Linked DNA regions of Alligator mississippiensis. The protein of the gene in region 3 interacts with the protein of the main gene of each other region in a biochemical or structural test. Links are inferred from orthologs where the notes say so. Each region holds a gene or a part of one and is shown on either strand. Other genes may lie near its edges. The genes, in order: ABCC4, ABCC2, NHERF1 and NF2.

The links.
Region 1: the proteins of NHERF1 (region 3) and ABCC4 form a complex in vitro, tested with the Homo sapiens proteins (3 studies listed by BioGRID and IntAct, with this or other methods). The link is inferred for Alligator mississippiensis from reciprocal best matches to the Homo sapiens genes NHERF1 and ABCC4.
Region 2: the proteins of NHERF1 (region 3) and ABCC2 form a complex in vitro, tested with the Homo sapiens proteins (2 studies listed by BioGRID). The link is inferred for Alligator mississippiensis from reciprocal best matches to the Homo sapiens genes NHERF1 and ABCC2.
Region 4: the proteins of NHERF1 (region 3) and NF2 form a complex in vitro, tested with the Homo sapiens proteins (2 studies listed by BioGRID). The link is inferred for Alligator mississippiensis from reciprocal best matches to the Homo sapiens genes NHERF1 and NF2.

Annotation. Positions count from the first base shown.
Region 1 is NC_081824.1:367,956,995-367,964,517, reverse strand, and holds the start of ABCC4 (ATP-binding cassette sub-family C member 4), read right to left. Parts: upstream 3,006-7,523; 5' UTR 2,693-3,005; coding exon 2,619-2,692; intron 1-2,618. UniProt on the Homo sapiens protein: ATP-dependent transporter of the ATP-binding cassette (ABC) family that actively extrudes physiological compounds and xenobiotics from cells.
Region 2 is NC_081829.1:101,076,760-101,084,450, reverse strand, and holds the start of ABCC2 (ATP-binding cassette sub-family C member 2), read right to left. Parts: upstream 3,002-7,691; 5' UTR 2,919-3,001; coding exon 2,877-2,918; intron 2,549-2,876; coding exon 2,375-2,548; intron 2,173-2,374; coding exon 2,035-2,172; intron 1,677-2,034; coding exon 1,542-1,676; intron 1,213-1,541; coding exon 1,090-1,212; intron 814-1,089; coding exon 758-813; intron 325-757; coding exon 93-324; intron 1-92. UniProt on the Homo sapiens protein: ATP-dependent transporter of the ATP-binding cassette (ABC) family that binds and hydrolyzes ATP to enable active transport of various substrates including many drugs, toxicants and endogenous compound across cell membranes.
Region 3 is NC_081831.1:11,679,301-11,686,388, reverse strand, and holds the start of NHERF1 (Na(+)/H(+) exchange regulatory cofactor NHE-RF1), read right to left. Parts: upstream 3,018-7,088; 5' UTR 2,960-3,017; coding exon 2,564-2,959; intron 1-2,563. UniProt on the Homo sapiens protein: Scaffold protein that connects plasma membrane proteins with members of the ezrin/moesin/radixin family and thereby helps to link them to the actin cytoskeleton and to regulate their surface expression. Necessary for recycling of internalized ADRB2.
Region 4 is NC_081833.1:26,673,961-26,681,653, reverse strand, and holds the start of NF2 (merlin), read right to left. Parts: upstream 3,013-7,693; 5' UTR 2,849-3,012; coding exon 2,735-2,848; intron 1,417-2,734; exon of another isoform or gene 1,330-1,416; intron 1-1,329. UniProt on the Homo sapiens protein: Probable regulator of the Hippo/SWH (Sav/Wts/Hpo) signaling pathway, a signaling pathway that plays a pivotal role in tumor suppression by restricting proliferation and promoting apoptosis.

The DNA.
Region 1 (7,523 bases), on a different chromosome or scaffold from region 3:
GTCAGGTTAAAAATGATTGAATTCCTTCCCCTCCACAGCAGCATGTGCAGAGGATTGAGAAAAGTCTCTACATCCACAGCAAAAGGAACCCGTGACTTTTCAACATTCTCCACCTGCCTGAAAGAACAAGTGAGGCTACTACTCATCATAAGGTCCACAGTACTGGGACATCAAGGGTTTACAAAGGAAAATGAGAGCAACCAAGGAATAACTATGCAAATGTTGCATACTTCTTAATGCAGAGCGTAGGAATTCCCTAGAGGGGTGCCATTCCTGACAGGACTCACTACAAAACACAACAGTTGGCACATTTCTCTGCTTCCTCTCTCTTCTTCTCTGTGCACTGTAGTTCTGGTATCTGAGATACATGCTTTACTTTCTTTGGATTAATTCACAAACTTATAATTTTTTTCCCCCTAAGAATAATGATTAAGAACTGAGCTGTTAAAAAAAAAAAAAAATCACACTTCTTAAAGTACTCATTCAACACGGCCTTTAGGCTTTCCATATTCCCCAGCTCTAACAAAATAGTGTATTAGTGGTGTTGCAAACACTAGCTTTATTTTTGTAATACAGGTCAGCAATGAAATCCACTTTACAGCTGTATGCATATAGTGTAACCACTCAGGGAGAGCTGAAAATGCAAAACACCAACAAGGTCAGTCCTGCAAACAGGTGCACACAAGCTACAGAGAGCTTAGCACTTGCTCTAATGTGCTGGGCAGCTGGCCCATATGGTCTCATTTCAGTGGAGCAGAAACAGCCCAGGAAGGGGCTAGAGAGAAAGGCAGGATAGATTTGCACCTCACAGACTAACCAAAATAGAGGTGGTCTGATTAGTCTATAAGGTGCAGATCTACCCTGCCTTCTATTTAACTTCAGACTAACACAGCTAACAACACCTCTGTGCTAAAGGGCTAGAGAGGGCAAGGAAAAAGAGTGTGCTGCAGTCTCTTCCATCCAAGGAAAACCTAAAAAAATCCTGGCTTTAGCATCTTGAGACGCAAACACAGCAGCCTGGTGAGCGCCCAGCAGAGGGAACTCTACCAGGGCTATCTGGGATGTTTTGTTTTTGTACCTCCTAAAACTTAGGACCTCTGAACACATACCCTAAATAAGGGAAAATCTGCTTGGTCACTTGCTTTTTGTCTTTCTGGAGGAAGGGATGGTCCCTCTCCACCTTCCAGAAAGGATTCTTGCACCTACTCAGATCTGGTTGTACTGTCAAGATGGTTAATTCAAACACCATCTGGGTTTCCAAAGTGTTCAAACAAAGAGGTTTCTGGCATGCTGCCCAGCCCCTGCAAAGTCTTCACACTGCATATCTGGCCAAGGGACGAATAAAGCTGGGATCCAGATGCACAGAGTGGGAGAAGACAAGTGGGTGGGATCCTCTTCACCTCCCTCTCCAAAAAGTCTAGGGAAAACAAGAAGCAAACTCTCTCCCTGCTGTGGGCAACCACTGTAGAAAGCAGGGATGAGCCATGGGTGATGCCACCTCTGTACAGAGCATGGAGTTTTAGCCCTGTTAATCTGAAGTCAAGTGGACAGCAGAGTAGATTTGCACCTTATAGACTAACCAAAGGTTAGCAAAGCATCTGCTTTCTCTTTAACTGGATAAATATGTGCTGTGTTATACGTGATGACGTACCACACTATATGCCCAGCTCCCTTTTCAAAATCCTAGATCTGTCTATGCAGAGTAGATCTACAGCTATATCACCAGAGCAATATCTACCTTAAAGCAGATCTATAGCTATAGAGCGACAGACAGAGCGAGTGATAAAGTGAGCACTACAATATGACAGTGAGCTACAGTGATATAGTGATAGATATAATTGATAGAGTGAATGATAGTTATAGTTATAGAGCAAACGATACAATATGATAGAGAGTGAGTGACAGAGCAAGACAGTGATATAGTGATTGAGTGACGGAACAAGTGATAGAGTAAGTGATACAATATGATTGAGAGCAAAAGAGGAGTAGACAGTGATACAATGATAGAGCAACACAGTGAGAGAGCAATACAATAGAGCAACAGAGCGAGTGACAGTAACAGTAATAGAGCAACTAATACGAGATGATAGTAAGAGCGAGCGATAAACCAAGACAGTGATATGGTGATAGATACGAGTGACAGAGCAAGCGATACGATGTGATAAAGAGAGAGTGAGCAATAGACAGTGATACGGTGACAGAGACAAGTGATAGAGCAAATGATAGCAATAGACCAAGCGATACAATATGAGTGAGCGGGAGCAAGACAGTGATAAGGTGATAGATACGAGTGACAGAGCAAGCAAGGCGATGTGATAAAGAGCGAGCGAGCAATAGGGCACCACAGTGACAGAGTGAGTGATGGTAACGGTGACAGATGCAGCAGGAGAGTGATAGAAAGAAACAGCTCTGGAGGGATAGGACAGAGCGAGTGCGAATGAGAGAGATGCCAGATACGGCAGAGGCACGGCTGGACACACGGGTGCGGGCAGAGGGAGAGCGCGCCCGACCACAGGCTTTCCCGACCTGAAGCTCCCTCCAGCCGCGGCTGCGAGAGGAGGCGCAGGGAGAGGCCGAGGAGGAGGAGAGGAGCCCGGCTCCCCGCGGGCCGCACTCACCAGAAGAAGAGCCGCGAGCAGAGGTTGGCGCCCTGCAGCGGGTTGGGGTTCTCCGCGCGGGGCAGCGCCTCCATGCCGCCGCCAGCCCCGGGGCACGGGCACTGGCACGGGCACCCGCCGCTTCCGGGGCCGCCCCGGGCCCTGCCTCTGCGGCACAGAGCGGCGGCGGGAACCGGGAGCCGGGCCGGGCCGGGCCGGGGCGGAGCCGCCCCAGAGGAGAGGGCTGCCCGGACCCGCTCCCGCTCCCTGCCTTCAAAGCCTGGCGCGGAAACAGCCCAGGTGCGGGTGCCCTGCTCCCCTCCAAAGTCCCTTCCTTCACGGCCCTGAGCGACAGGCTCCGGCGCGGCCCTGCCCCTGCCCGGCAGGGAAAGAGCAGGTTGCAGCCCACCTCAGAGCGCCCAAACCCTTCTTGAATGGCATGTAGGGACACAGCTACACGCACACACCGCGCATGTCGACACGTGCATTTACCGGGCTTTTATGGAGAGGGTTGGGTTTAGACCCGCAGGCATTACAGCGCAGTAAGTTTGTGTCTGGATGGACTTGGGTACACAAATAGGGATACTGTGCAGTAAGGCATCTATGTCCTTAGACCAACACGGCTACAACCTAAACCCCTGTCACTGTGCAGGAAACACTCAGGTGGGAATTTGCTACCTGCCTCATGCAGGTAGCAAATTTCCACCCAAATCGGTGCATGTCACTAGAGTTACTGCACAGTGTGCGGACTGCGCAGTGATTTTTGGCCACTGAGAGGTAACTTAAGTTACTGCCAAGTAACGGTGCATGTGGAGACATGCTCATTTAGACACATGCTCACACACTTAAACATACGCTCAAACACACACGGCCCACTCTCACTGGAATCTAGCACTCGCTGAAAACAGGCAAATCATGGTTACCCCGAGATCAAATGTGGCCAACCTTTTATTCAGGGGTGGATCTAGGATTTCCCAAAGAGAGGTGTGGGGGTGACTGTACCCCTACCTCCCTGCTTCCTTCCCCACCCGTGCAAACAGACTGTCCTCAACAGCCCGCAGGGACTTTAGGTCTCTAAAGCAGGTGACAAGTCCCACCTCCTTTCCCTTCCCTCCCCATTCCACAGCTGCCATTGTTGCTTTCCCAGATGTTTTGGGGGCTGGGAGAGCACCAGAGCTGTTCCTCCTCACCCAGCCAGGCTGGCCTCATCTGGGGAGGGGACAGGGGCAACACCAGGGTGGGAGAGTAGTTCCTCTCTCTGTCCTCCATCCCCTGGGAGCAGGCAGACTGAAGGGGATTCCCCTCAACCCATCCCCACTGCTGCCGTCCCCAGCTGAGATCAGCCCACATGCAGCCTGGCTACACCAGACAGGAGCGGCTCTGGTGCTTCCCCCACCCCTGGGACAGTGAGAAAGCAGAGAAAGTGGGGAAAAGCAGGGGAGGAAGGTTTTCACTTCTTTTTAAAGAGTTAAAAAGTCCCCCAAAGCTCCCCTGGTACAGTGCAATCCAAAAGAGGGGGTATAACTACCCCATTACAGCTTCTCTGGATATGCGCGTGCAGTTTTTAATACAAAAGTTAAAGCTGGGACTCAGTGGCAACATGGAGGGGGTGCATGAGGGTGCACATCCACCCCCTGAGAGCGCTTATGCACCCCCTGCCAGCCAGCGTTCCCCACTTAAGCAATGGACGGGGGGCAGGTGGGAGCGCTGGTGCTCCCCCTGAAAGCGCTGGCTGGGGAGTAGGGGCACCAGGAGAAGCGTCGTTGGCACTTCTGGGTCAGTGTGATCAGCTGCAGGGGGACCCATCTGACTCAGAAGGCACCGGTCGCTCATGCCAGAACTTCAGAAAAAACCTGTAGAAGGTCTTTATACCACTCAGAGGGGGGAAAAAAATTTTAAAAGAGTGAAAAGACATTAAGGTGGAGATCTTAATATAAGCACCATTACCTTCCTGGGATAAAATAGTAAAGTTGGGCTGCCTGTGAATTAGGATTCTTTCTTTGGATAAGGCAGCAAAATTAAGTCTATAATCCTTGGTTAATTTTAGTCATACCGTAATGACTGCTTTGTTGTTATAACACAGAGAGAATTTTTTTTTCCCCCAAGGACATTGGCTTTGGAGAAAAGAATAAATAATTTACTTCCTGGATTAGTGTCTTAAGTCCTCTCTCTCTCTGCATTCCACCCCCATTATTATGAATGACACTGATACTGTAAATGATACCAACTAGGGCTCCAGCCTTGTAAACATTTACACACATTTAAGTATTTCCAATAACTTAATTTCCAAAACCAAATGCTCTTAAAAGATAATTGGATGGAGAGAGGAAAGCAAAGCAGAAGGGGAAAAAAACAAAATCATATTAAACAGAAAATATTTTTTTAAAAGCCAGTAGGCTAGATAAATTTGTAGGAGTAGCTGTTACAGAGCTGTCTACCATTGGGAAAATGCCACTACCTGGCAAGAACCCAGAAATAGAACATTGCATCATTATAAAAGGTAATAAAACACAAAACAAGCCATGGAATTTTGTCCTCTGAAAATTTAAGGCTACATACAAAAGAAAATGGGAAAATGAAAAGTGAACAAATTCATAGGAAATAATATAAAGACAGGAGGGACAAAACCACTAGCTTGACACTTGCACTTAGTCATATATGGAGTTCTGTGCTTATTGATACACAGATACATATACACACACACACACACACACACACACACACACAGAGCCATTTCTAGAAAGTACAACTTTATTAATAATTACATACAGCTACCTTGAAAGAACATTAAGGTTGTATGATCAAGCACTCATGATTAGGAAATGCCTAAGAAAAGGCAACACAATTCAACCTCTTATACATATGCATTATGTTACAGCCTTCAATTACATTTAAAAAAAACAACACAAACAGATTTCCTTTCTCATTTGGTGTACAGGAAAACTGGTCATCACTGAATGGGCAGCTGTTCAATATTCATTTTATCCTCATTTCTCAATATATGGCAATATGCCTTATTTACTGCTCTATTCATACCTTGGTCTGAATATAGAATTACTAACTTCCCTGTGAGCATTTCTGTGTATTTATCACTACTGTACCCAGTGCTTTACAAACATTTTTCACCCTACATCTCCCAATAGTGTGGTATGACCTCCAATTTCTGGATGGGAAACTGAAGCAAAGCGTTATTAAAATCATTGGAAGGGACCTCAAAAATCATCTAGTCCAACTGCCTGCACAGATGCAAGCTGTCTATTCCTAAACTATCCCTAACAAATGCTTATCTGGCCTATTCTTTAAAAATTAAAAAAAAAAACTTCCAATGAAGGAGATGTAAATTAAAAATTTCCAAAGAAATAAAAAATGTCTACTCAGTTAGGTACATCTAGAACCTACTTTTCCAGGATATTCAACACAATGATGCATTTTCAAAGTGCAACTCCCATTGAAATCTGTTGAAGCTATGAGCATTCAGAACTTCTGCAAATCAGCTCCCAGGGGCCCAAGATGAGTATTAGGAAATGGGGGGGGTGTCACAAAATGAGTAACCAGGAACAAAAATTTGGTTTAAGTGATTTGCCTAGCATTACATAGCAACTGTCTGGCAAAGGAAGCATAGAAAGCAGTTTAGAGTGGTTGAAAGCTTTCCAAGGGAACAATTGTCCATAGGAAAATGATGATTTGATGGAATCAAAAGATTCCGATGAACATGTTTCTGTCAAAGCTTTTGTTCAAAACAAGACAGAAAAGCAGACAGGCAAGTAGGCTGCTGGGCTTACCAGCCAACTGACTTGCCTGGTTTCCTTTCATACTATAGGCAAAAACAGTCTGGTAGTCTACTGGCTTACAACCCACCTGTTCAGTTTGTGTCCAATTTGTTATCCCGTTTTCTGATTTATTGACTAGAAAGTGTTTCCTCATGTGGGGACAAAGAACCGGAACTGTTTTTAAATTGAACTAGATAAGTTATCAAAAGCATAATATTATGGGAAAAGAAGTTGTTGGGTCAACTATTACCTTGTATTATATGCATAGACAAAGCTAGGATTTTGAAAAGGGAGGTGCAGACAGTGTGGCACATCATCACATATACACAACACATTTTTATCTACTTAAAGGAAAACCAGATGCTTTGCTAATATGCTAGCACCATATTATGCATTTTAAGGTCAAAGCAAAAACCAATATAACTAGTTAAATGTGCACTAATTTGCTAGATTATCTATAAAGTTTAAAAAACACAATAAACTAGGCAAAATAGTCAAAATGATCAAAATATATTGTATCATTAAGTCCGGTAGTCATTATAATTAAATGTACATCTCTTATTCAGATTCATAAAGCAAAATCTACTCTTCTCGAGTGTCTTGATAGTACCGCCAATACTTCCTGTTAGCCATTTCTACACCTGAGTTAAGGTTTTTCCTAGAACTAAAAACAGTCTTCAGGCTACGAAATAGAAGAGACATTACCAGGAATGGCTAACAGACAACAAAATGGCAGAAGAAAGGATAGTTTGAACAGTAGGTTAGCAGGACCATTAAAAAGACAGAGGGTCATTATCACCCATGGAGTGGAGAGAGATTAGCAGGAATCAGGGAGATGATAATGAGCTATGAAGGTAGTTGGTTTTAAAGTTTGGGTGCAGCAAGAATCGAAGGGGAGTGCAGCTGCACCATTGCACCCCAGTGGCACCAACCCTGGTTATATATAGGGTCAAGTACATACAATCCCTATGTTGAGGTACAGGTCTAACTTTCTTAAAATGTGGTAGATGTCTGGTAATTCAATTCCTCAGGGCTTTTGTTTGCCTGCAGGAAGTAGGAAAGATAAAAGTCTACTACCTTCTGGGGTTTTTTGGAGGCTTCCTCTAAGCACTGGGATGTTGGCCATATTGACCACGTCCACATGACCGTGAACATT
Region 2 (7,691 bases), on a different chromosome or scaffold from region 3:
CCTCCAGCCCCCGCCTTGCTGTGCTGTGCTGGGAGGGGTGGGGACAAGGTGCCCTGGTCTGAGCTCCGCCCTGGTGCAGCTGAGGGCATTACCAGCACCAGGACGTCGCGGCTCTGGGCCGGGGCCAGCCCATTCCTGTGCTCCGCGTCAGCGGGATGGTTCCTGCGGCGGTGGTGTCGGTGCTCCAGCGCCCGCCGGGCCCGCCGCAGCTCGGCCTGCATGTGCCGCTCAAAGGCCACGGAGACTGGCTGTGTCCTGTCCTGGTCCCGCAGCTCCCACAGGTCCTCCATCTCCAGGGGCTTGCGGTGCCCCTTCCACACCATCCTGGGCCAGAGGGTTCGGTCAGCTCTGCTGCGGGGACCCCCCCACCAGTTGTCCTGAGCCCTCACCCCACACCCCCAGCCACCATACCCCGGTGCCCAGCCCCGGTTCTGCTGCTCGTCTCATGTTGTGCCCCCAGGTCTTGTCCGGCGAGAGACTGTCAGTCATAACTCCCTGCAGACCTTCTCGTCACTGTTTAGTATTGTGCAAACCCGTCTCCTGTCCCTGCTTTTCTAAACCAACCAGGCCTGACCCCGTAAGTCTCTTCTCCCGTACAAGCCCCTCCCTACCCCTACAAACCCACCTTGCTGCCCTTCTCTAGTTCTTCTCTATCCTTTGGGAGGCACAGGACCAGAGCTGGGTGCAGCATTCAAGGTGTAGACACCACGTGGCCCCAGCAGTGCCCTGGCCCAGCCCTGCCCTGCGTCCCACGTACCTGCTGTACCAGCCGAAGGTGATGGAGCTCAGGAAGGAGGCCGTGACCTCGGGGTTCTAGGGCACAAGGACAAGGAGTGTCTGTCCCCTGAGCCGGCCGCTCTGCAGGGGTTTGGGGAGCTGGCTCTGGCCCCATCATGCCATGCGGGCACCAGCCCAACCAGTCTCAGGGCTGTGCAGGGTGGAGGCCAGGAGCCCTTTCTCCATCCACCACCCACGCTGGGAACTGCTCCGCAGAGCCCGCAGAATGGCTCCAGGGTCTCCCATGGACTCAGCCCTCTGTCCCCAGCCCCTGGCTGCCTGTGGGGCTCCCCACAGCACCCAGGGCCTCACCTTCCTGGCAGCCTCAGCAGTTTCAGGGGCGATATCGGAGAAGGTGGAGGTGACAGTGAGGACAAGCTGAAGCCCATAGGAGAGGAGGAAGAGGCTGAACCGTGGCACGTCAGGAATGGGGCCCTGTGGGAGGGAGACATCCAGGAGCTGCCCAGGTTATCTCAAAGCGAGGCCCAGACACCAGCTCAACCCATCAGCCAGGACAGGAGCGGGGCCAGATCCCACAAAGCCAGGGTGGTGTCTGGGGCCAAGGAGAACACACCCTCCTACCGCCCTTCCTGTGGCAGGGGTGGCCGGGCCCTGGCCTGTCTCCTTCCAGCCCCCGCCTGGACCCAAGTGCAAGGACCTGGTGTGAACAGGGGAGCCAAACACCCCTGCCTATCTGGAGCAGGAGCAAGGAAGGGATTCCCCAGGGGCCAAGCTGGGAGCACAGAGGTCCTGCAAGACCTGACCTGCAGCGCCCTCCGGATCAGCGTCTGGAGTGGGAAGATGCCGCACATCAGGGACAGCATCCAGAAGAGGAAGAGCAGCCCACAGTCCCTGCGCAGGCAGCGGCGCCGGGCATCGTGCAGCAACAGCACCAGGACCTGGTGAGGGAGCAGCTGGGTCAGGGGCCATCAGGGAAGGGGCAGAACCCCAGGGCCCCACTGAGCAAAGGTTAAACACAGGGTCCAGTGCCCACAGCCCCAGGATTGGGACCCACAGCTCTGGGATCAGGACCTGAAGCCTCCTCTCCAGAGTGTGACTGGAGCAGCAGCACCTGCCTGAGTCTGCAGGGAGCCTGTGCCCCATTCTTGCCACCCCTGCCCCTGATGGAGGCAGGTCCCAGTCCAAGCCCAGGAGGCAGGTCCCTTTGCCCATGCATGGTGGGAACCCACAACCACAGGGGTGTCCTGGGGCCACCCACTGCTCCGATCCCCCCTGCTGGGGGCAGGGAGCTCCTACCCAGGTCAGCGTATACAGCACGGGGTTTGTGTAGTGCACAGCGGGGCTCTGGCCGGCCGGGCCCGGACTCCCCAAGTCCTCTGCCAGCGTGAAGACCAGCTCAGTCACAGCCGTGAGCAGGAGCAGCCCAGTCAGTGCCTGTGGGGGAACAGCTGTCAGCAGACCCCAGCCCCAGCCCCGCAAGCTACAGAGGCCGTGGGGTCTGGCAGGGGGGAGCTGCGCTGTCGCCCACCTGCAACACCCTTCAGTCCATGCCAGCCTGTTGTACCCCCCGGCCATGCCCACCTGCCCCCCTGGACCCAGCCCCTTGCACCGCGAGGTCCCTCGGGCTGGACTGCACCTGCTTAGCCAGGTAGAGCCTGGTCCGGGAGTATTTCTTGGCACTGGACTTGCACAGGGACAGCAGGTGCCAGGGCGCGAAGAGCCAGAGGAAGCCCAGGGGGACCCAGACCAGCACGGTCTGCTCGAAGCACAGGGGCAGGTCGGCGTCGGGGCGCTGCAGCAGCGAGGTGTTCTGGGGGAGGCAGGAGGATCCAGGTCACCCGGGGGCAGGAGGTGCCCGGGCGCAGGGCGGCGCAGGGCAGGGGACAGGGCGGGCGCGGAGCAGGCTGTGCCGTGTCCCCCTGCGCAGATCCCCGACGGCCCTGGCCCCAGCTTCTCCCTGTGGGCAGCAGCGCCTCAGCTCCAGCCGCGTCCCTCGGCTCCCGGTGGCCCTGGCTCCCGCCTGCAGCCGGGCCGGGGGTACCTCCACCGCCGCCCCTTGGCTGGGCTGCCCCAGGCCCGATCGCGGCAGCCCTGGCGCGGGGCTGAGCCCCCGGGCCTGAGCCCCCAGGGCCGCTCACCCAGAAGACGGAGCCGCAGAAGTGGTCCAGAGCGGGCGGCATGTCGGCGGGCCGGGGCGGGCTGGGCCGGCAGCTCCGTGGGTGCCGCGAGCGCTGCCCGGGCAAAAGTCCCCACGCACCCGGGGTCGGGATAAGGAGCCCGCAGGTGGCGTTAATCGTTAACTCCCCGAGCCCTGTGCAAACCAACCCGACCGGCGGCCACAGGGGTGGGCCGGGCTGGGCCGGGGCGGGGGGGCCTGGGCTGCCGCCGCTCGGGGTTTCTAGCCTCGGGGATCCCCGCTCGGAGCCATCCTGGTAGCCGGGGCACCGGGGATCTCAGCGCAGAGCGGCCCAGGGCTGCAGAGGATGTGGGACCCGGCTCCACCACCGCCTCCCAGGGTGTCAGGCCGGAGCATCCCAGCACACAACAGCCGGTCCTCAAGCCCCACCGCACTGTCCTACTGGGAACCCTGCAATAGTGTGACCCTATAGGCCCGGGTCTGGGCCGGACTGGCTGTCTCCTGCAGGCCAGTGTCTGCCAGCAGTTGAGGGGAGCTCCCTCCTTGCCCCACTCTCCTCCCAGGGAGCTCTGGGCTGGCCCTGCAGTCCCGAGGTCCCCACACGGCCCAGACACTTGGTGCCAGCCAGCCCAAAGGTGGGAGAGCTCCCAGCACCCAATGCCTGGGACCCGACCCCTGGGGATCCTTAGAAAGACAGGAGGAGCTGGTTCCCCAGAACTGCCCCAAAATTTCTGGCAGCCACGCGGCGGCCCCTGGGGACAGTGCTGGGCACCCCCAGCCAAGGGGGCAAAGCTGGGAAGGGTGACGGGGGCTCCAACAGCGGGGCTGGAAGGGGAAATCTGCTATCTCAGATATGCCTCATGCACTTGAGAAGTAGCTCAAAAGTCATCGATGATTTAATTGGCAGCAACCCTGCGTGAGCCACCAGCCGCCCAACCCGGGAGAGTGCAATGTCCAGGGGCACAATGAGCCAGCACACAGAACAGTTAATTATTAGGAGCCTGATTGATTAAACATGCTCTTCATCTCGTAAACAAGCCAGCCCTGCGGCAGGGGAGGCCTGTGATGCCCCGCACGCAGCCCAGCCGTCCACGAGGGACCCCAAAGCACAGACCCTGCGTGTGCTGTCCGCCCCGGCCACCACCCTAGGGGAGCCCATGGAGCCACCGTGCTCCCATCATCCTCCACCACATTGGCCCCATCCCATCTCCAGCCCAGGCCTCTCTGGGCCCTCCCCTCCCTTGACATCCCTTCTCCAACACATCAGACAGGGCAGCTGTTCCCATGGGGCTGAGCAGAGGGGATAGGGCCAGCGTGGTGGAGGACAGTGGGAGTGTGGTGCCCCATGGGCTCCGCCTGGGTGGTGGCCTTGGTGGGCAGCGCAGGCAGGGGCTATTCTTTGGGCTCCCCCCCTGGATACCTTATGGACACCTGGGCTGCATGCGGGGCATCACAGGCCTCACCTGCCGCAGAGCAGGTTGGTTTACAAGATGCAAAGCAGGTTTAATCAATCTGGTTCCTAAAAATTAACTGGTCAGTGTGCTGGCTCCTCACCCCTCCAGATATTTAACCCTCTGGCTTGACAAGGGAGCCTCCCTCTGCCTCCGACTGTCCATCAAGGTGGCCGACGTGGCGAAAGTGCGGACCCTGAACGCCATCACAAAGAACATCCTGTAGCGGGACAGAAACGTGCAGACCCTGGGACCCCCCTGTCAGCGCAGGCAAAGAGACTTCAGCTCCCGCATCCCCGGGGCGGGGAAGGGCATGGATCACACGCAGAAACCTGCCACCTCTTCCGTGGTCTCTTTTGTGGCTTCATGTGGATGCCCACTCCCGGGGCTGGAGGCCACTACTGGTCTTTTTGATTGTGGACCCTTTCCTGGCTGCAGCACTGGCACCAACTGTCCGGCAGCCATGGGCCAGAGGGGAGGGTTAGCTAATGGGGCGGTGAATTGTGCGACAGCGCTATGATGTCAAATAAACACCCCACAGCCAGCCCGTGTCACTGTGGCTCTTCCTTGCCAGGAGGGCTGGCAGCCCAGTACAAGCAGCGTCTGCTCTCCCGAGTTGTGCGACGCGGGCCCAAGCGCACGTGGCGCTTCCCGGCCTGCAACACAGCGGCTGGAGAAGTCACGTCCCCTCTGGGGTCCGCGGCACCAGGCAGGCGGCAGAGCAGGCCTCGGAGTCCTAGCGCTACAATGCGGAGACCTGTGCAGCACAGGACGGGCCCCTGCCCTGCTCTGGGGATATCTCCGGACACAAGCCAGTGAACCTCCAACCTCGAGCCGCGTTCATCTGCTCCGATAGCCTCGCCATCACCAAGCCAGCTCCTGCTCGGTGGGTCCCGTTCCCAGGAGGGCAGGGCAGGGAAGGAGCTGCAGTACGAAGCAGCAGCCGTTGCCCAAGCTCCCCAGAGCCAGGAGTGGAAAGGTGCAGCTTCCTCATTTGGGATGAGGTCCCCGAAGGAGGCATGGCTGGCAGAGCCCTGGAAGGAGGTACCGGGTGCCTTCTGCCTTGGGATCCTGCTCTGGGAATGGTCCCTCAACACCCCCGGTAGCGAGGATTGTCCGTGAGTCCTTTCTGCTCCCATCCAGGCAGACTGTGCAAGGGCCTGCAGACCCTGCTGGAGATCACGGACCCCTTCCCCGCACCCCCCTCTCCCCCCGATCTCCTGAGCAGGGGGTGACCCCGTGGCCCTACCTGGACACCCCATAACCCCAAAGTGCCTTGGGGATGGGTGTGGGTTGGGAGGGCCCATGGTTAGGGGTCAGTTCCAGCTGCAGTTCTGTTCCCTCTCTCTCTCTCCTAGTGGAAACAGCTCGGCTGCCTCCAGCCCGGATGCCAGCCCTCTTTCTCCATCCAGCCTCTCCCCTTAGGGAGGAGCTCCTGCCCAGGCCACCCTCAGTCTGCCCTCCAACATGGAGCAGCGAGGAAGAGGAGGGCAGCGTTGGATGCCTGCAGCTGCATCCCCACCTCTCCCCGTCCCTGCGGTTGGTCTGCGCCTGCTTCTGCTGGGCGCTCCCTCCATGCACACCCAGCCGAGAGCTCAGCGATCTGGTTGGCCAGCTGACATAGTATATCTGGGCTTCTGTGGCAGGGCACTGGTGGTGCTGCCACTTTAAGAGCGGAGCCAAGCAGCCAGCAGGTGCGTGATTGCAGCGACCATTTTAGAGCTCTGGCCCCCGATATAAACAGGGCATTTCGCAGCTGGTGGCCAGGCAGGACCATTGCCTGGCTGTGAGGCTCCATGCAACACCCTGGAGGTAAGGGCAGGTGCTGTAGGGGATGGCTAGGAGGCTCCTGGTCCTGGGCATGATCTACAACTGCACCCTGCCGGGAGCGGGTGGCCTGGTGGGGCTCAGTGGTGTGGGAGCCCCCAGGAAATGCCAGGCCAGTTACCACCCTGGTGGAAGGTGGGTCAGGGTGCCTTAACCCCAGCCATTGCCTTCAGGTGGGCCATGTAACATCCCCGGTAGTTGGGGCCAGGTATGGCTACAGCCACCTGAGCCTACCAGGGAGGAAGCCCCGTGGCCCCAGTGAGAGGAAGCCAAGGGATGTCTTTAGATGCCCGAGGCTGCAGTTTGGGCCAGATGCCGAGTACGGGGGCTCAGTCTGAGAGATAAGGGTGAGTCCTGACCCCGGTAAGCCCTCCACCGCTGGGAGGCTGCGTGTGGGTTGAAAGTAAGAGCTAGCGTACAGCACAGTGACCTGCTCTCCGGGGGGGGGAGAGTCCCGTGAGACCCAGAGCACCAGTCGTGGTGTGGGACAAGAACGAGTGGGGGGGCCAGGCACGGCTGCGGCCACCTGAGCCCCATAGGGCAGGGAAGTGCCATAGCCCCAGTGAGGGGGCAGAAATGAGGACCCCCCGGGGGGGGACCAGAGGGCTGGGAGTCCAGTATTGACTGAGTGTACAGAGTTGCCCCAGGAGGGGCCAGGGCAAGCTTGGACCCGGCCGGGCAACTAGCTGGCCACTACCTCAGTGAGGGTTGCGGGAGAGACTCAAAAGCCGGTACGTCTGCCACCCAAGGCATGAGCTAGCTAAAGCCTATGGCCGAAGGGGGCTGCTCCACGAGGGAGCCAGGTGGTACAAGTTGTCGAGGTGTGAAAGAGACCCCGTGAGAGGGGTGGAGTGTGCGAGGCCCCAGTGAGAGGAGGGCGCTATGAAAGTGTGTGCGTCCGAGGTCTGACAACGAGGCCTAAGCTCGGTCCGGCGGTAAGCCGGGAGCATTGTCACCTGGATGCCATCAGCAAGGCTTGGGCTGCGGTGTTGGGGAAGAACGGAGCTGCAGATAGCGCCCCCTGGCATCGGGGCAAGAATGGGCAGCCTCCCACCTTAATTAACAACTTAATTCATTAACAACAAGGCGAGACAAGTGCATGGTGTACACAGAGGGAGTTGGGGAGACTAGCACTGTGGCTAGATGGGGACCCCCCACTTTGCCACAGCTTCCAACAACACCTTTTGACAAGGTCCCCCATTGGCAGCTCTTGAAGAAGCTAGGCAGTTATGGGATCACAGGGAAGGTCAATTCTGGATTAGAAAAATTGGCGTAAAGACAGAAACCGAAGGAGTGAGTCTAAATGGTCAGTACTCGGGATGGAAAGAAGTAAACAGCAGGGTCCCCCAGGGGTCTGTGTCGGGACCCGTCCTATTTATCATTCATATAAGTGACCTGGAAAAGGGGCGAGACACGGGGCGGGTCCCGGTGGAAGGAACGTGCGAGCTGGGAGGAAGGCACGGCTTGGCAAAGTGGTGGCAGAAACACCAGCTTGAACATCGCATAGCCACTGGAGATCTAGGACTTGGACCGAGCCG
Region 3 (7,088 bases):
ATCCCCTTCCACATCCCTGTAATGTGTCTGTCTGTATTTCCACTAACAGGATATTACTGACGTCACTTCAGGGGTGTTGGACAAGTCTCCATACTGTAATGTAAGACTTGCATCAACATGGATCAAAACTCCTCTTCCCTAAAAGCATCTCAATTTTCTGATGGGGGGCAGCTACAAGACAAAAGATCCTTTGTTTTAGGCACTGCACAGACAGAGAACCCCAGCCTTGCTAAGATTACAATCTCAATCTGACACATTTTGCAAATGGGGAAGAAAAAAAAAAAATAGTGTGTTAATAGCAGTTAGCATTATAATCTGTGGTTACAGCACATCAGCTGCCTGACTGTGATCAACGGTTTGAGGGGTTGTGTTTAAGCTTTGACAGGCGTCACTGGGATATGAAGCGATACCGGGGTATGAAGGGATATAAAGGAGGACACATCTCAACTGCAATGCTATCCTGCCCAGCAGCGCTGTCCTAAAAGACACCACACACACCTCCTCGCAGGCTAGAAGTGGTGTAGCTTTGTCCATGCTACACTACCAGAGGGCTACTTAGCACTGCTCAGACTTAGTTTTCCCACACTATTTCCAAATTGGTCCAAGTCATTTGTTCTTTCGAATGGCTACAGGTCACAGCTAAGTAGCTCCTCAGTAACGCATTTAGGGAATCTTATGCCCGTGCCCATAAACCCCATCTTAACCTGACAAAGGCTCCAATTTTTAGTTACCCCCGACCCTCTGCCAAAAAACCCCTTTATCATATGAATAGGGGACGCAGAAGCTAAGCTTGTCTTTATACACTGGAGATGGCAAGAGGTTAGCCCCACCAGCACAGAGAAGATATCACTCTGCCCTAGGGGTGAGAGACAACCTCCATCCATGCCTTTTATATACTCATTTGGAAAACTTGATAAGAAACTGGCTCCTTTGAGATGTATCATTATTTCAGCAATGCAGCAAGACAGAGGCTGCCACACTCTTGACAGTGGGCAGAGGGGAAAGCAGAAGTCCTACATCTATAATTAGCCCTGAAGATTATTAATAGAGACTAGGGAAGGTGTGTCTGTTTTCCTTCAGCACTTTGTGCAGCTCCTAGTACCACCCAGCCACTGGTTCTACACCGAGTTCCCAGGTACAAAAGCAACATTAATAGCTCTGAATCATCATCAGGCTTTCTTTTGTGCTTATTCTGTGGCTCTTCGTGTGCCACCTAGGCCCCTGCTATATATTACATATATTATGCAACTCACTGGTTAAACATGGAATAAGTTTAGACTGGTAACACGTGCAAAGTAAGACCGGGTACATGTGCGAAGTGATCATCACACAATTATCTGGTTAATGGTGCAACGAAGCTAGAGCGGCCACATGTGCAGAGTAATTATCACAAGATAAAAATGTCCATCCAACTACAAAAAAGAGCTAACAAGCTATAAAGTTAGTGCTTGAAAATATGTAAAAATTCTAGTGCTGGTTTCTAACCCGCTGTAATTTGAACAAGTAGCCTAGAAATCGACCTCTAGGCTCAGAGGTATCCAAGACACCAAAGGGAGACCATAGAAAATGAGGACTGGAAGGGACCACATCCAGTACAACCCCTGCTAGACCAGCCCCAACTACATCATCCCAGCCAGGGCTCTGTCTGGCCGGGTTTTGAAAACCTCCAAGGACGGAGCTTCCAGCACCGCTCTAGGTAACCCGTTCCAGCGCTCCACCACCCTCCCAGCGAGAAAGTTTTCTGTAATATCCAACTTAAACCTCCCCTGCTGCAACTTGAGACCCTCGCTCCTTGCTCTGTCACCACCGAGAACAGTCCAGCTCCTCCAGTCTAGATACGCAGCCTGGATTCTCGCACCTCTGCACCTTCCCTCCTTCTGATCTGCACCTCCCCTCTCCTTTCGGCAGGAAGCACATCGAGAAGACCTGGCTGCAAGTCCCCCCCGCACAGAGAACAGGTAAAGATGCGCTCTCTGGAAACGGCTGATTTCCAACCCTCTCCTTTCTCCCAGCAGGTCGGGCTGTTTCAAAAAGATGCCAGCACTGGGGCTGCCCGAGAACCGGACGCCCTTTTACTTTCAAACACACCGAACTTCACACGATCACCACGCTGGCAACCATTTCCTGACACCCTCTCTTCCCCCCACCGGTGCTGCCCGAACCTGGCACACTTTTGTGACCACTTCCTTGGCTATTCTGGAAAGCCAAGGCCGGCTTTCACGAGACCGCTGCGGGCACAGCCTGGCCTGAAGGAACCGGGCAGGCAGGAACCGAGGATTAGGCACAGGGGATCGGCTCATCCCAGGGCAGGGGGTTGGACTCGATGATCTAACAGGTCCCTTCCAACCCGAAAATCTATGCATCTATGCACATTTCCCCAGTCTCAGACAACCGGGGGACAGCAAACGCACGTCTACGCTGAGCACTGGCGGGCTGCACGCGCGCTGGTCCCACGGGTGCCGGGGAAGCTCTGCCTTGGAGCCCGCAAGGGGCAGAGCGGCCCCCCCGGGGGCAGCAGGGAGGGAGGGAGGGAGGGAGCAAGCGACCCCAGACCCGCACGCACCCGCTGCACCGGCTCCGGCTCGTCCGCCGCCTTCTCCTCCTCCTCCTCCTCCTCCTCCGCCGGCGGCGGCGGCTGCTGCTGCACCTCCTGGGCCGGGGCTCGCGGCTCGTCCGCGCTGGGGTCCACGACCAGCAGGCGCACGGCGCTGGAGGCGGCGCGGATGCGGCCGACCACCTGCTGGTGGCTGTCCTGCTCCACGTTGTGGCCGTTCACCTCCAGCAGGCGGTCGCCGGCCCGCAGCCCCGCGCGCTCGGCGGGCGAGTCCGGCTCCACCAGGCGGATGAACTGGCCCGGCTTGCCCTTCTCGCCGTGCAGGTGGAAGCCGTAGCCGCTCGGGCCCTTCTCCAGGCAGCACAGGCGCGGCGCCGCCCGCTCGCCGCCCGCCCCGTCGCTCATGCTGGCAGCGGGCTCCGCTCCCCCCGCGCCACGTGCGCCTAGCCCCGCCGCCGCCGCCGACTGCTGGCGATCCGCCTTCGGCACCGCCTTTTATAGCGGGGGCGGGGCCGCCGCGAGGAGCCAATCGCAGCTGGGAACCCAAGAGGCTCTGGAACCCGCAGCGAATCCGAGACACACCTCCCCTGGGCGGGGTTATGCAAATGAGAGAAGCTGAGGCCCCGCCCCCAACGATTGGGGCACCAGCCCCCTCGGCCTGCTGGCTTCTGGGGGGCCACTCCTCCTTGCTCGCTGGGTTTCCCTGCTGCCGGGGCGCCCCCTGCAGCCTCTTCTCCGCCTCCTCCGGGTGGGGGGGGCAAACCAGGCCACACTTTAGGTGTCCCCAATTTTTATTCTTCTATTTGGGGGCAGGGGGATGTAGTTTCCACAAGTTTTCGCATTTTAACACTCGGCTATTTATGTAAATCCTTCTGCCTTTTATAGGCGAAGATCCTGCTCTTCTGGTTCAGTCCCTGCCGAGGTGCAGCAGCGTGAAGCCCCATTTTTGGAAAAGGGGGGTTTCCTGCCTTGCTTGCTGCGTGTAGGTGATGGCTGAGAAGGAGCAAATCTCGGGGGCGTCCGAACTCCCCCAGGCTCCGGGCTTGGGCCTGTACATAGGACGCCCACCAAAGGATTTGGAAACATCTGGAGCCCCAGGTGTGGGTGGCGGGTGTTTGCCAGTAGTAGGGCCACTTATGGTTTTAGACTCTTGGATTTGGGATTGGTTTTGGCTAATCTGGCCTCGGAAACAAATTTAAAAAAAAAATCCCCCAAAGACTAGTAAAAAGGTCCATGATGCAACTGTGGTGGGTTAATATTGACCTCTAAGGGGCCCTGAATGACTCTTGCCCAGGGCCCCATTAACCCTAAGGCCGACACTGCTCCAAGACCTGCTGCTGAGGCTCTGGCTGCATGACCCCCTGCCCCCTCCTTGCACCTTTTTTCTTTACACGTCCCCGTTCATGGCTCCACCAAGTCCTCTTGGTCAACCTCCTCCGGGTCCTGGTCAATCTGGCCACAGAATCGGAGACCACGAGGGTTGGGAGGTCACATCTAGTGATTCGAGTCTATCCCTGTGCTCAAAGCAGGACCAGCCCCAACTACATCGTCCTAGCACGGCTTTGTGTAGCCGGGCCTTAAAAACCTCCAAAAGCTTTTACAGTTTTAAAAACCCCACTGTCTATTGGACGTGGAAAGAGGCTTTGGCTGGGGGAACCCCCGGGGATTGCACAGCCCCCTTCCCGTTCCTGTTCTGTTCACATCTCCAAGCACAGTTTCGCTGAGCAGCGTCCGCTGGCTCCTTGCACACGCTCAAGGGCTGCTGAGCACTGGCCGGCACGCTCTGCTCGCTGTCTCCCTTCAGTAAACTCATTTCAGACCTTTGACCTTCGCCCTTGTCCCTGTTTTGCAGGCCCTCTGAAGAGGGTTGTGGGTGGGGGCATGGGTGTAGAGATGGGTGTGCGGAGATGCGGTGCAAACTGTGTAATGAGCTTTTAATGGTTTAAACTGTCCAAGTGTGCTGTGATCTGCCAGGTGAACCACAGGAGCTGCTTGATAGTGTTGGAGGTAGAGTTATATATATATATATATATTTATATATATAGAAATAAATCTTTTTGGAAAAAAAAATGCCCGTTTTGTTTCTTTGTTTGTCCCAAGCAATCCCTGATATGTCCTTAGTAGCCCCCCCTATTAAAGGGGGGGCTCGTAGCTCTATGCGGTGGGCATTGGTCCATGTTTTAGTATGGCACATCAAAAGGCTTCATCCTGTTAATAGGCTCTGCACAGTCTGCTAGAGCATCCCGCTAAAACAAGCTTGTTATTTCACTCATGCATGGGCAGATCTCGAACTTTGAAAAGAGGGTGCCGACGGCAAGATGCATCATCACACGTAGGAACAATACATCCACTTTTTCTCCACTTAAAAATAAACTAGAAGTTTTACTAATAGGCTAGGGGCCTAAGGGCTGCATGATTCAGTTTAAGGTTGAAGCCAAAACAAATATAACTTCATTGGACCATCAGCCGGGTTGTGACATAGGACCTTCATTACCAGAAGCAGCTACAGACAGCCGAATTGCTGAGCAAAGGCTGGCTTGATTGGTGGAATATCAAGACGATGAAAAAAAGAGAGGGTCGTTAATACCAGAGAAATGAAGAGTTTTGAAGGGACCGGGTAGATTACAATGAGCCATGAAGATAATTCATGCCTTTACTGCTGCCTGGCTAGAAATGCTGGTTTTAGACTGTGGGTAGAGCAGGAATCAAAGAGGGGTCCAACCCTGCCCCCATGTCTATCCTATACTGAGGTTAGTTTGGGTTGCCATCCACTAGAAAGGGGTAAAGGCCCTGAAATCACTTAACTTGCTACTTTGTACTAGACCTTCCTGAACTCAGGCCTTCAGAGGTAATGCAGTGGTAGGGGAACTCAAATCCCATAACTTGAACCAGTGCCAGAGGCTTGTTTCCCCAGCACACTTAGGTGAGGCTGATGGGAAAAGGAGATGAAACCACAGGATGGACTTTGAGCCACAGTTGTCACCGGAGCAGAAAACGCTGTCCTTTTTCCTCATGCAGCCTCAGATCGGTAGAGGTACCACAGTGGATCACCTCACCTTCGTAGGACTGATGGGTAGTTTGTGTTTCTGGGTGATCCGAGCAGAGAATTAAGACATGAACCCTGAACTGTTTTCTTCTTGAGGGCACTTCCCTTCCTTTCTCTTTCCCCAAATTCCTCGGGTCTCTGCACTACTCTCTCAATGAGGCTTTTATAGGCATTGAGGCAGCTAACTCCCACTGACCGCAAAGAGAGGTAGGAAATAAAACACTTGTAAAGACCTGGTCCTTTGTCTTTTCATACGTCGCTTGACTATATGAGAAAATAATTTCCTGGGGCATCTGAGGTCAGTAGTGCTATGCATAAAACCCACTGCATGGAGAAGCAGGAGAGAGCCCTCCAGCCATTAGGAAATCAGCCTGATCTTTTCTGCGGAGAAAAAATGGACACAGAGAATAGCCAAGAGTCAGGGAGTTACATGAATAAGCGACTTTGCTGCTTCACAAGGGAAGATGGAGTAGCAACTCTGGCTCAAGAGATCACGTTACTCGCTATATACACTGGAAGAGCGAACATGGGGTGTCCTTTGCTGATGCCTCCTGTTCCACTTCATTTTCCTTTTTCTACTGAAGCAAGCAATTAATAGCAGCAGTCTGGAAACACGAGACCACCGAATTTCTCAGCATCTTCCCTTCTGCTCTCTCCTTCTGCCGATTATTTTATATTTATTATTCTCCACGCAATGCTTTTGACTTGAAAAATCGCATTTACAAGCCACAGTGCTGCAGTTATTATTAGTACCTGTAACCCTTAAGTTGAAATTGTTTTAAAATGTCTTTCCCCCCTCCCAAAATTGCTTCCTTTCTGCATTCGAACCACATTGTGTGTAGTCCGTGATCCAATACTAGTGTTTACCACCTCCGTTTCTGCAGGACCTGCCAAGGAATAGTTGCATGTACAACAACGGAGCTGAAACTGAAAGTGAACAGGCAGCAAATAGCAGACAGATGGATGTACAGGCAGTCAGGGAGGGCGAAGAAGCAATAGTCTAAACACGTTTGGTGCTTTTTTTTTTCTTCCTCTACTGGTTTAGCCTTAAATTGCCTCTGAATAGAAACAAGGAAGTTGAAAAACCCTCAAGAGTTTATGAAAAGAATTGTTAAGGTTGGTCATCAGGTTTCAAGTCAATAAACGCTAATGACCTGTGTCTCGAGCTCCCATTTTGTTGGTTCACTTCTGTCCACCTGTCGGACAGATGGAAACATTGCAGCTGTTTCCTGCCAAACAGATGCATATGAGAAATGCAAGGCCTGAAGTACCTGCCCCGTGGAAAGGAGCTCTTTTTAAGCCACTGCTGTTTGTTTGAAGCCTGATCTTTATTTCATGAGCCCCACAGAATGGCACGTGCTAGCTGGGACCATCAGTGACGTGAGCTTCATCGGAGCAGTGCCCTGCCACTGAGTTAATATTCAAGCAGGGGTCACCTTTACATTCGTCTACAAGGCAGGTGAAGTTCTACGGCAAGTCCTTCGTGAA
Region 4 (7,693 bases), on a different chromosome or scaffold from region 3:
GCTGGAATACAAACTAACCCCAGCAAATGTTGGACAAATTGCTATTTTTACCATGCTGGCTCCTTAGTTTGATCCTACAACTCCAGGATTTGCCATCTACAATCTGGCAGTTAATCATTTGCATTACACATCAAATAAAGCTTTCCAGGGGCCAGCTAATGTGTTGGGATGTTTCAACTGATACAGGGGCAGAATGGCCAAATGCACACGGATGCTAGACCCTCATTAAGACCAGGGACAGAAATTACACAGAAACCAGTATAAGCAATCAGAAACTCTCTCAAATCTGTAGCATAAACACAACTTCAGTGCACATAAACCAGTTTCAAAATGGCTGAAACCAGCTTAAGATAAACCTGGATGGATGTAATATCAGTTAACTGATTTAGATTAAATCAGTTTATTGAACATCTGTCCAGATCCCCTCCAGATTCAAGTTAACTCTCAGTTCCCCAGCACCCCAGGATGCTTTGCACCTCCTCCACAAACCCTCTGCCCCCCATAGGGAGGGCAGGCCTGCCTTGGCCCAAGCTATATGTTCCTGCTGACCAGGGAGGTGTGCTCTAGCACCCCTTGGCTTCTGGCCTAGGCTACTGCAGGCATGCGGCTGCATTTTCAAAATCAAAATGAATACCCATTCAGTTGCTTATTGATTTAATCTACACAACTTTGGCTAACCTGCAAAGATTGAATGGATTCGGCCTCAGGCTCTTGACTATCTGTACTTAGCCTAAAAGTTGGTCCTTTCATACCCCCAAGCACAGTCATTCCAAGAGTCTGCTGCTCAGCATTGTAAACATTAATATTACTCAGATTTGTTCACAGCTTTCCATTTACTTACTATGCACAGTAGGTTTGCAAGAAGATCACCTTTAGGGGCTAGGAGAGAGTAGAGTACCTGCATTACTGGTGACCCAGAGCTGATGTTCAATCCTTTCACAATATTTTCAGCAATTATTTTTGACACATAATTTCTCTGCCTGAGGCTGAGGTCCCAACCCTGAAAATCTATGAATGTGCAGCAATATTGCAGAAGAGACAATCCTTTACTCTAGCTAAGGGAGTCACTGAAGAATTGCTTCTAGGAACCTCCCTCACAGAGACAACTATACCACCACCGAGAAAAAGCTTCTGGAAAGACACCAAGAAGCTCTATGGTGATAACGAGCACCAAAGAACAGTGAAGGGACACCTGGGAGAATACCAACCTGCCGCAAAAATACGTAGTCAGTGACCCTGCAATTCTCCAGCCAGGATTTGACCTATCGAGAAAGATTTGGTCCTCCCTGAATCACATCCAGACACTTAATGGAAAATGTGGACACCTACCCCATAAATAGAGAATCAAAGAATCTGGGTTGCAATTGTGGTGCGATTTTTCAGATGGTGTAACACATTGTAAACGACTGTCAAATTAAATATTTAATGGCAATCTAAAAAAAAAATAAAAAAAAAAATCAATCCATGCAGCTACCCCTAAAGCAGTCTAATGGTTATCAAATTTAGATATTAATCCATGAACATTGTAATCCTGAAATGTCATACAAAAGAAGATCACCCAAGTTACATCATGGCATTCAGGAATAGCAACTAATGACCTGACTTGAATCCCCACCATCATAACAGGGAAGAGCCCTGTACCAAATCTGGCGTGTGGGGCTGGTCTACAGGCCCAAACCAGACCAGCCTGAGATCCAGCACTCAAGGGCAATCTTGTGCAGTACGTGCCCCAGACCAACCCCACAAAGCATGTGGAGCACAGGACCAGTCCAGGGCACATGATGTATGTGGCACTTATGCCAGCCCAGACCTGCATGCTACAGCTGGTCTGTGGCTCAATCCAGACCAGCCCTGGATCCAGTGTGCATGGCCAGCCCAGCACACGTGGTGCACACAGCACATGCCCCAGACTGGTCCCACCCACTGTGTGTAGCACACATGCTGGCTCCAGCCCTAGCACTGTGTGCAGGCCATGCCCGATGGGCTCCACATGCACCATGAGGGTCTGTGGCCAGCACATGCTGTATACAACATGCCAGCCTGCAAACCTCCAAACACATGCTCTAGGGGCAAGATACTGCAAGGGGCTCTGCAAGGGCCTGCCTAACATCTTCCAGGGTTAGGTAACACCCACCACCATTTAAGTATTTACTTCCTGACCTCTCACGCACTTGGTCTGGAGACAGTGGATTGGGAGCACATTTGAGCGCATTCAAACGAACGCACCGCTTGTAGACAAGGATGGAACAATTACGCTCGCTGCTCAAAACCGATGCAGCGCACCGGTCCGGGGATGCCCATGGCCACTAGGAACAGCTCTGGACCCAGCAGCTCCGAACTCATAGGCCCGCAGGGCTGGGAGGGACCTGGTGAACTCACCTAGCCCAACCCCCTGCTTGAGGCGGGATCATCATTACCCAAACCACCTCGGCCAAGCGTGCGCTGGAGCAGTGCTTCTCAACCGGGGAGCGACCGCGCAGGCTCTGAGGGCGCTTCAGTGCAGGCGCCCTGCCCGGGGCACAGGTCAAGTGGGCGCAGGCTGCAGGGAGAGCCCTCAAGTGGGCAGGAGGCCGCCCCCAGCCAGAGGCGCCGGGACAGCTCCGCCTGCCCCGCTCGCCTGCGTGCCCGCAGCAAGGGCAGAGCGGGAAGGGCCGGGCCGGGGCCAGGGGCACTCCCCTCCGAGGCGGCCCACCCCGCGCACCCCTGGCCGGGCGGGACAGGACGGGCCCACTACCTCGCAGCTGAACTCCATCTCGGCGTCCATGGTGACGATGCGCACCGTGAAGGTCTTGGGCTGTTTCCTCTTCAGCGAGCTGAAGCTCATGCGGGACGCGATGGCCCCGGCCATGGCGGGCTCCGCCGCACCCGGCTCGGGGAGGGCGGGGCGGATCAGCCCCGGGCGCGGGGCCTCAGGGGGCCGGGCCGCGAGGGCGACATGGTGGAAAGGGGGGGGAGGGGCAACACCGGGCCAGGGCGGGCTGGGACCGCCGCTCCCTGCCCCGCCAACCTCCCGTCGCCGCTGCTGGTGCAACTTAACTCCACTACTCCCCGCCATTGGCCCAGCGGCTCGGGAGGGCGGGGCGCCCCTTTCGCCCGCCTCCTGGAGATGCGCTCAGCTAATCGCAAATTCAGTACGCTCCCACCCCCCTAACCCCCCGGCGCTGGGCGCGCTCCGAGTAGCCGAGCCCGGCTGCCACTCCTGCACTCCGGCCCCGCCTCCTCAGCAAGGGCGGTTGAGAGGCCGCCGAGCAACACCGGTCCCTGATTGGGCGAGGGCGGCCCGCGCTCCGGCTCCCCCTGGCGGGGACTCCCGCCTCGCGGCCTGTGGGAGCGCCGTGGGGCCCCGGGTGGAGGCTGGCGCTGTGCAGGAGCACTGGACCCGCCGGAGGGCTTGTTTGTGCACCGCCCCGGGAAGAGGGAAAGGACCTGGTCTGCCCGGGGGCCCCGCTCGGCCTGGCCTAGCCTAGCAAGGGGGCGACCCTGGAGTGGGCTGTCGTCCACAGCGCTGAAAGGCAACGGGCGAGGTCCCATTGTCCTGGCGCAGGCAGGCAGCAGAGCAGATCCAGGCTGGGGATGACTGTCCCAGCTGCAGAGAAAGACCTGGCCGTTGCAGTGGACCCTACACTGAATAGGAGCCAACAGCTTGCCCCTGTTGCCAAAAAACCCCCAAACAAAACAAAGGCAGCAGCATCCTGGGCTATATTAACAGGAGCATCCCTTGCAAATCAAGGGAAGTGATTCTTCCGCTGTATTCAGCCCTGGCGAGGCCTCACCTGGAGTGCCCTGTCCAGGTTTGGGCCCCACACTCCATGCAGGATGTGGACAGGTTGGAAGGAGTTCAGCACAGGGCAGCAGAAATGATCAGGGACCTGAAAGTAAAGGCTGGAAGAGCTAGAGTTATTTAGCTTGGAGAAGAGGATACCAAGGGGTGCTTTGATAACCATCTTCAGTTACTTGCAGGGTGATTGTAGAGAAGATGGAGATAGGCCTGTGGTCATAGGGGATAGGACTAGCGGTGGTCTCAAACTGCAGCAGGGGAAATTTAGGTTGAAGAGCGGTCGGGCATTGGAACAGACTACCTAGAGACATTGTGGACTTGATCCTTGGAAACTTTCAAAAGCAGGTTAGACGCACAGGGATGATCCTGCCTTGAGCAGGGGGCTGGACTAGATGATCTTACAAGGTCCTTTACAGCCTTAATTTGCTGTGATCCTATGAAATGCCTTAGAGTTGAGTGTCAGGCCTACCTTGGCTTGGTCACTTAGGGCAGTGGTTCTCAACCTTTTTTTTCCCCACCAGGACCCATCTATAAACATCAATAATCAGTCTCAGCCCAGTACTATTTGCTAATGACAAATAGTAACTTTGAAGTGGGAATCAAAGTTATCAGAGCCTGTTGTATGGAGGAACAGGAGGCAAATGGAGACACAGCTAATGAGCCAGGTAGACTAAGTCAGTCTCTTATGCATGTATATAGTTGTTATAAGTCAACTAAATAAGCTAATGTAACTGTAAGTGTCCTCTATTCCACTAGGTACAAGCCCTACAAATACCAGATCTGCCCTAGCAGCTGGAAGTTCCAACTCATTTATTACTTGAATTGTAACCCTTGGAGTTTGTTCTGATCCAGGACCCCACAGTGCTAAGCACTCTGCAGATTCTGAACAAAAAGATACTCTTTGCCCCCAAGAGCTAACAGTTGAATGAATCTCCCCATGATACAGGCGGTTTGATTAAATCTCAGTACATGGGGGTAGTGTAGGAATAGGCAGGATATGAAACTAAGATCACTGGGTGCATTCTTCTGAGTGCAAGGAAATTCCATCACATCACTGGCTGGCCTAAGGCTACCGAGTCTATTGCCTGTGACAGAAAACTCTATTAAAACCCAGCAACCATAAAGCTCCAAATGCATCTGCTTCTTTAGGCCTCTAACTTGTTCCACATCCTCTGAATTGTCAGACAGACTAATTTAGAAACTCAAGGAAAGTCAAAGCCATGAAAAGCTTTTATGACTCACCTTTCCTTGCTGGTCCTCTGAGTGCAGAACGTGCAGAATGAGGCTTGAGCTTCCATTTGTAATTTTGAAACCATGCCTATGGTAACAGATTGAGCTGTTCCTGTGTCACTTAATGGGGGCCATGGTTACAGGTGACTTGTGGGCTCAGGGAGGAACTCTTTAATGAAGAGTGCAAGCAGCAATGCTTCATCCTGGTTTCCTGCCAAGTACTTTTGCTTTAAAACCTACATGAGGTTGTGTACTAGGAAGCACACAGAACACAGTATATTAAGTATTATTGTAAAGCATAACCCCTCAGTGCCAAACAGAATTAATTTAAAGGTGACCTACTAGGAGAAAGAAAAAAGAAATGGGTTTGTGCCGTTACTTGCTTCTTTATGATAGATAAAAGCTTTTCAGCTTTATTTTCCTCTTACTTTTATGCCTTAGAAATAACAAGAGTATATAGAGTCTTTTCTTCCCTAACTTAGCTCCCAAAAAGATCTCCCCTCTTTACCCAGTTCTTAGGGTGGGAGTTGTTATTTAACAAGAGCTTTTCTCTCAACTGCTTTTATCAAACATTTGCGTTCTAAATACCATAAATTAAAATAGTTTCTTAACTCAGAGAAATGGAGGTTTTTCTTCCCAGCTGCTTGTGATTCCATGATTCTAACAGTTTTCCACATATCCATAGAGTCCTCTAGGGCAGAGCTGTTCAACTTCAGAGTAACTGGGGGCTGTTCAGGTCATGGGCCCCAGGCTGCATGGGCTCTCTGGGACCCCCACCGCATGTAACCCCATGGCCACATAAGTACCAAGGGCTTCCCACTGCCACAGCCACCACTGCACTGGTGATACCCCTGCCATGCCCCCCCTGCCCAAGCCCCAACTTCTGATGCTGTTGCACAGGCAGCAAACTGAATAGACTGTGTCTCCCTTCATGCTGCCCTGCTCCAGAAACCCCCCAGCCACAACCACCGCAGCCAGAGTAATGGAAGCAGTAGCAGATAGGTGGAAACGCAAGGGCCACTGAGTAACCCTTTTTGGGCTGGATGTGGTCTGCAGGATGCCATTTGGACAGCCCTGCTCTAGGGAAAGTAAAGGCTAGAAAGGATCTGAATTTATAAAGTAAAAACCAGCAGAAGAGCAAAATTGTCCTTTAGCTCTCTAAAAAATAAATAGAAAATATTTTTCTGGCTTTCTTTGTTCATCAAAAAGAAAAACAACTAAAGAGGTACTAGCCATTTTGGAAGGTCATTCATTTATTGCTAGCAAGATTTTAATGTTTTGTATTTATGTTGTGGTAGCAGCTAAAGAACCCAAGCAAATCTGACCTCCTGCATGCTAGGCATTGTACAGACTCCTAGTAAATGACCCTCCCTCTACCACAGTCCTTAAGAACAGCTTCTTAAAAGGTATTTAGGCCCCAACTCCTATTGAAATCATGGAAATTAACCACCTAAATACTTTTAAAATGTGCCCTTACACTCTTAAGGCCTTATTCCACCAAGAAAACTATCCAAGGAGGCCCAGCTCCAGTACAGACCACCGGCAATAATGATGGGGATTGCCGCAGTCATAGGGGTTCACATACACAGCTCTCCTTTGTAGGATGGGGGCACTAAAGAAAACCAATAGCAGCGATCACAAGAATACCAGGTCACCCAACAGAGAGTATATGTGATTCTATTTTCAAAGGGCTTTACAAGAAGCCTTTCTAATTCTCCAGTGAGTGAGTGATATTAGGAAAGAAATAATGGAAAAGGTGAGTTTTTACTGAAAGAGTACTGTTAATATGAAAGCCTCCCCTTTCCCTAGCCACTCACCACCAAAAAGAGCCTTGATTTTACAAACAGACCTTAGATTATTCAATTGGGAGGGGTTTTTTAGGTTAATTTATGCTTTCAATTTTGCATGCTTCTTTCAACTTGGATGATTAAATAAGCCAGTCACATTCACTTTCTGGATATAATTCTTATTAGCTGGTTAACTGTCAAGCAGGGATCGTCTGCTCAACACTGTGCCATAAATAGAAGTCTAGGGTGGAATCCTGGCACCATTAAAACAGATGAGAGCTTTGCAACCAGGATGTCACCCGCTGACCCTGCTCCAGAGAATTTACAATCAAAGGGCCCTAAGAGGTATGATCAAAGTGCAAACACTTGGGAACATGCTTAACTGGAAGCACATGCATAGTCCTGTTAACTTCAGGAGGACTGTTCACCTGGATAAAGACATGCAATATTCTGGCCCCCTCAAGCACCCAATCCTACAAACATTTAAGCTACTGTGGAACTTCACCCATGTGAATAGCATGTCTATCTAATTTAGGCATTGACCTGGCCTCCATTACTATAATATAAAAGCACTTCATAATCCTTAACACATTTATCCTAATAGACTAATAGATTGCTAGGGGCAGGAAGGGACCTTATAAATTATCAGGTCCAGTTCCCCCACACTAAGCAAGAAAAGACAGCTAGGGTCAAGTGACCCCAGCAAGGTGACTGTCCAGTCTCCTTTTGAAGATTTCCAGGGCAGGTGACTGTTGGGCAGTCATCGTGTAAGGGCATACGCCCCAACATCCCGCTGACATTCACTGGCCCCTCAGGGTGGCTGTGCTCCTATGGCTGAGCTGGATGAGATCAGATGACACTTCTTTTCCCTCCTGCCACGACTTTGATGATATAAGAG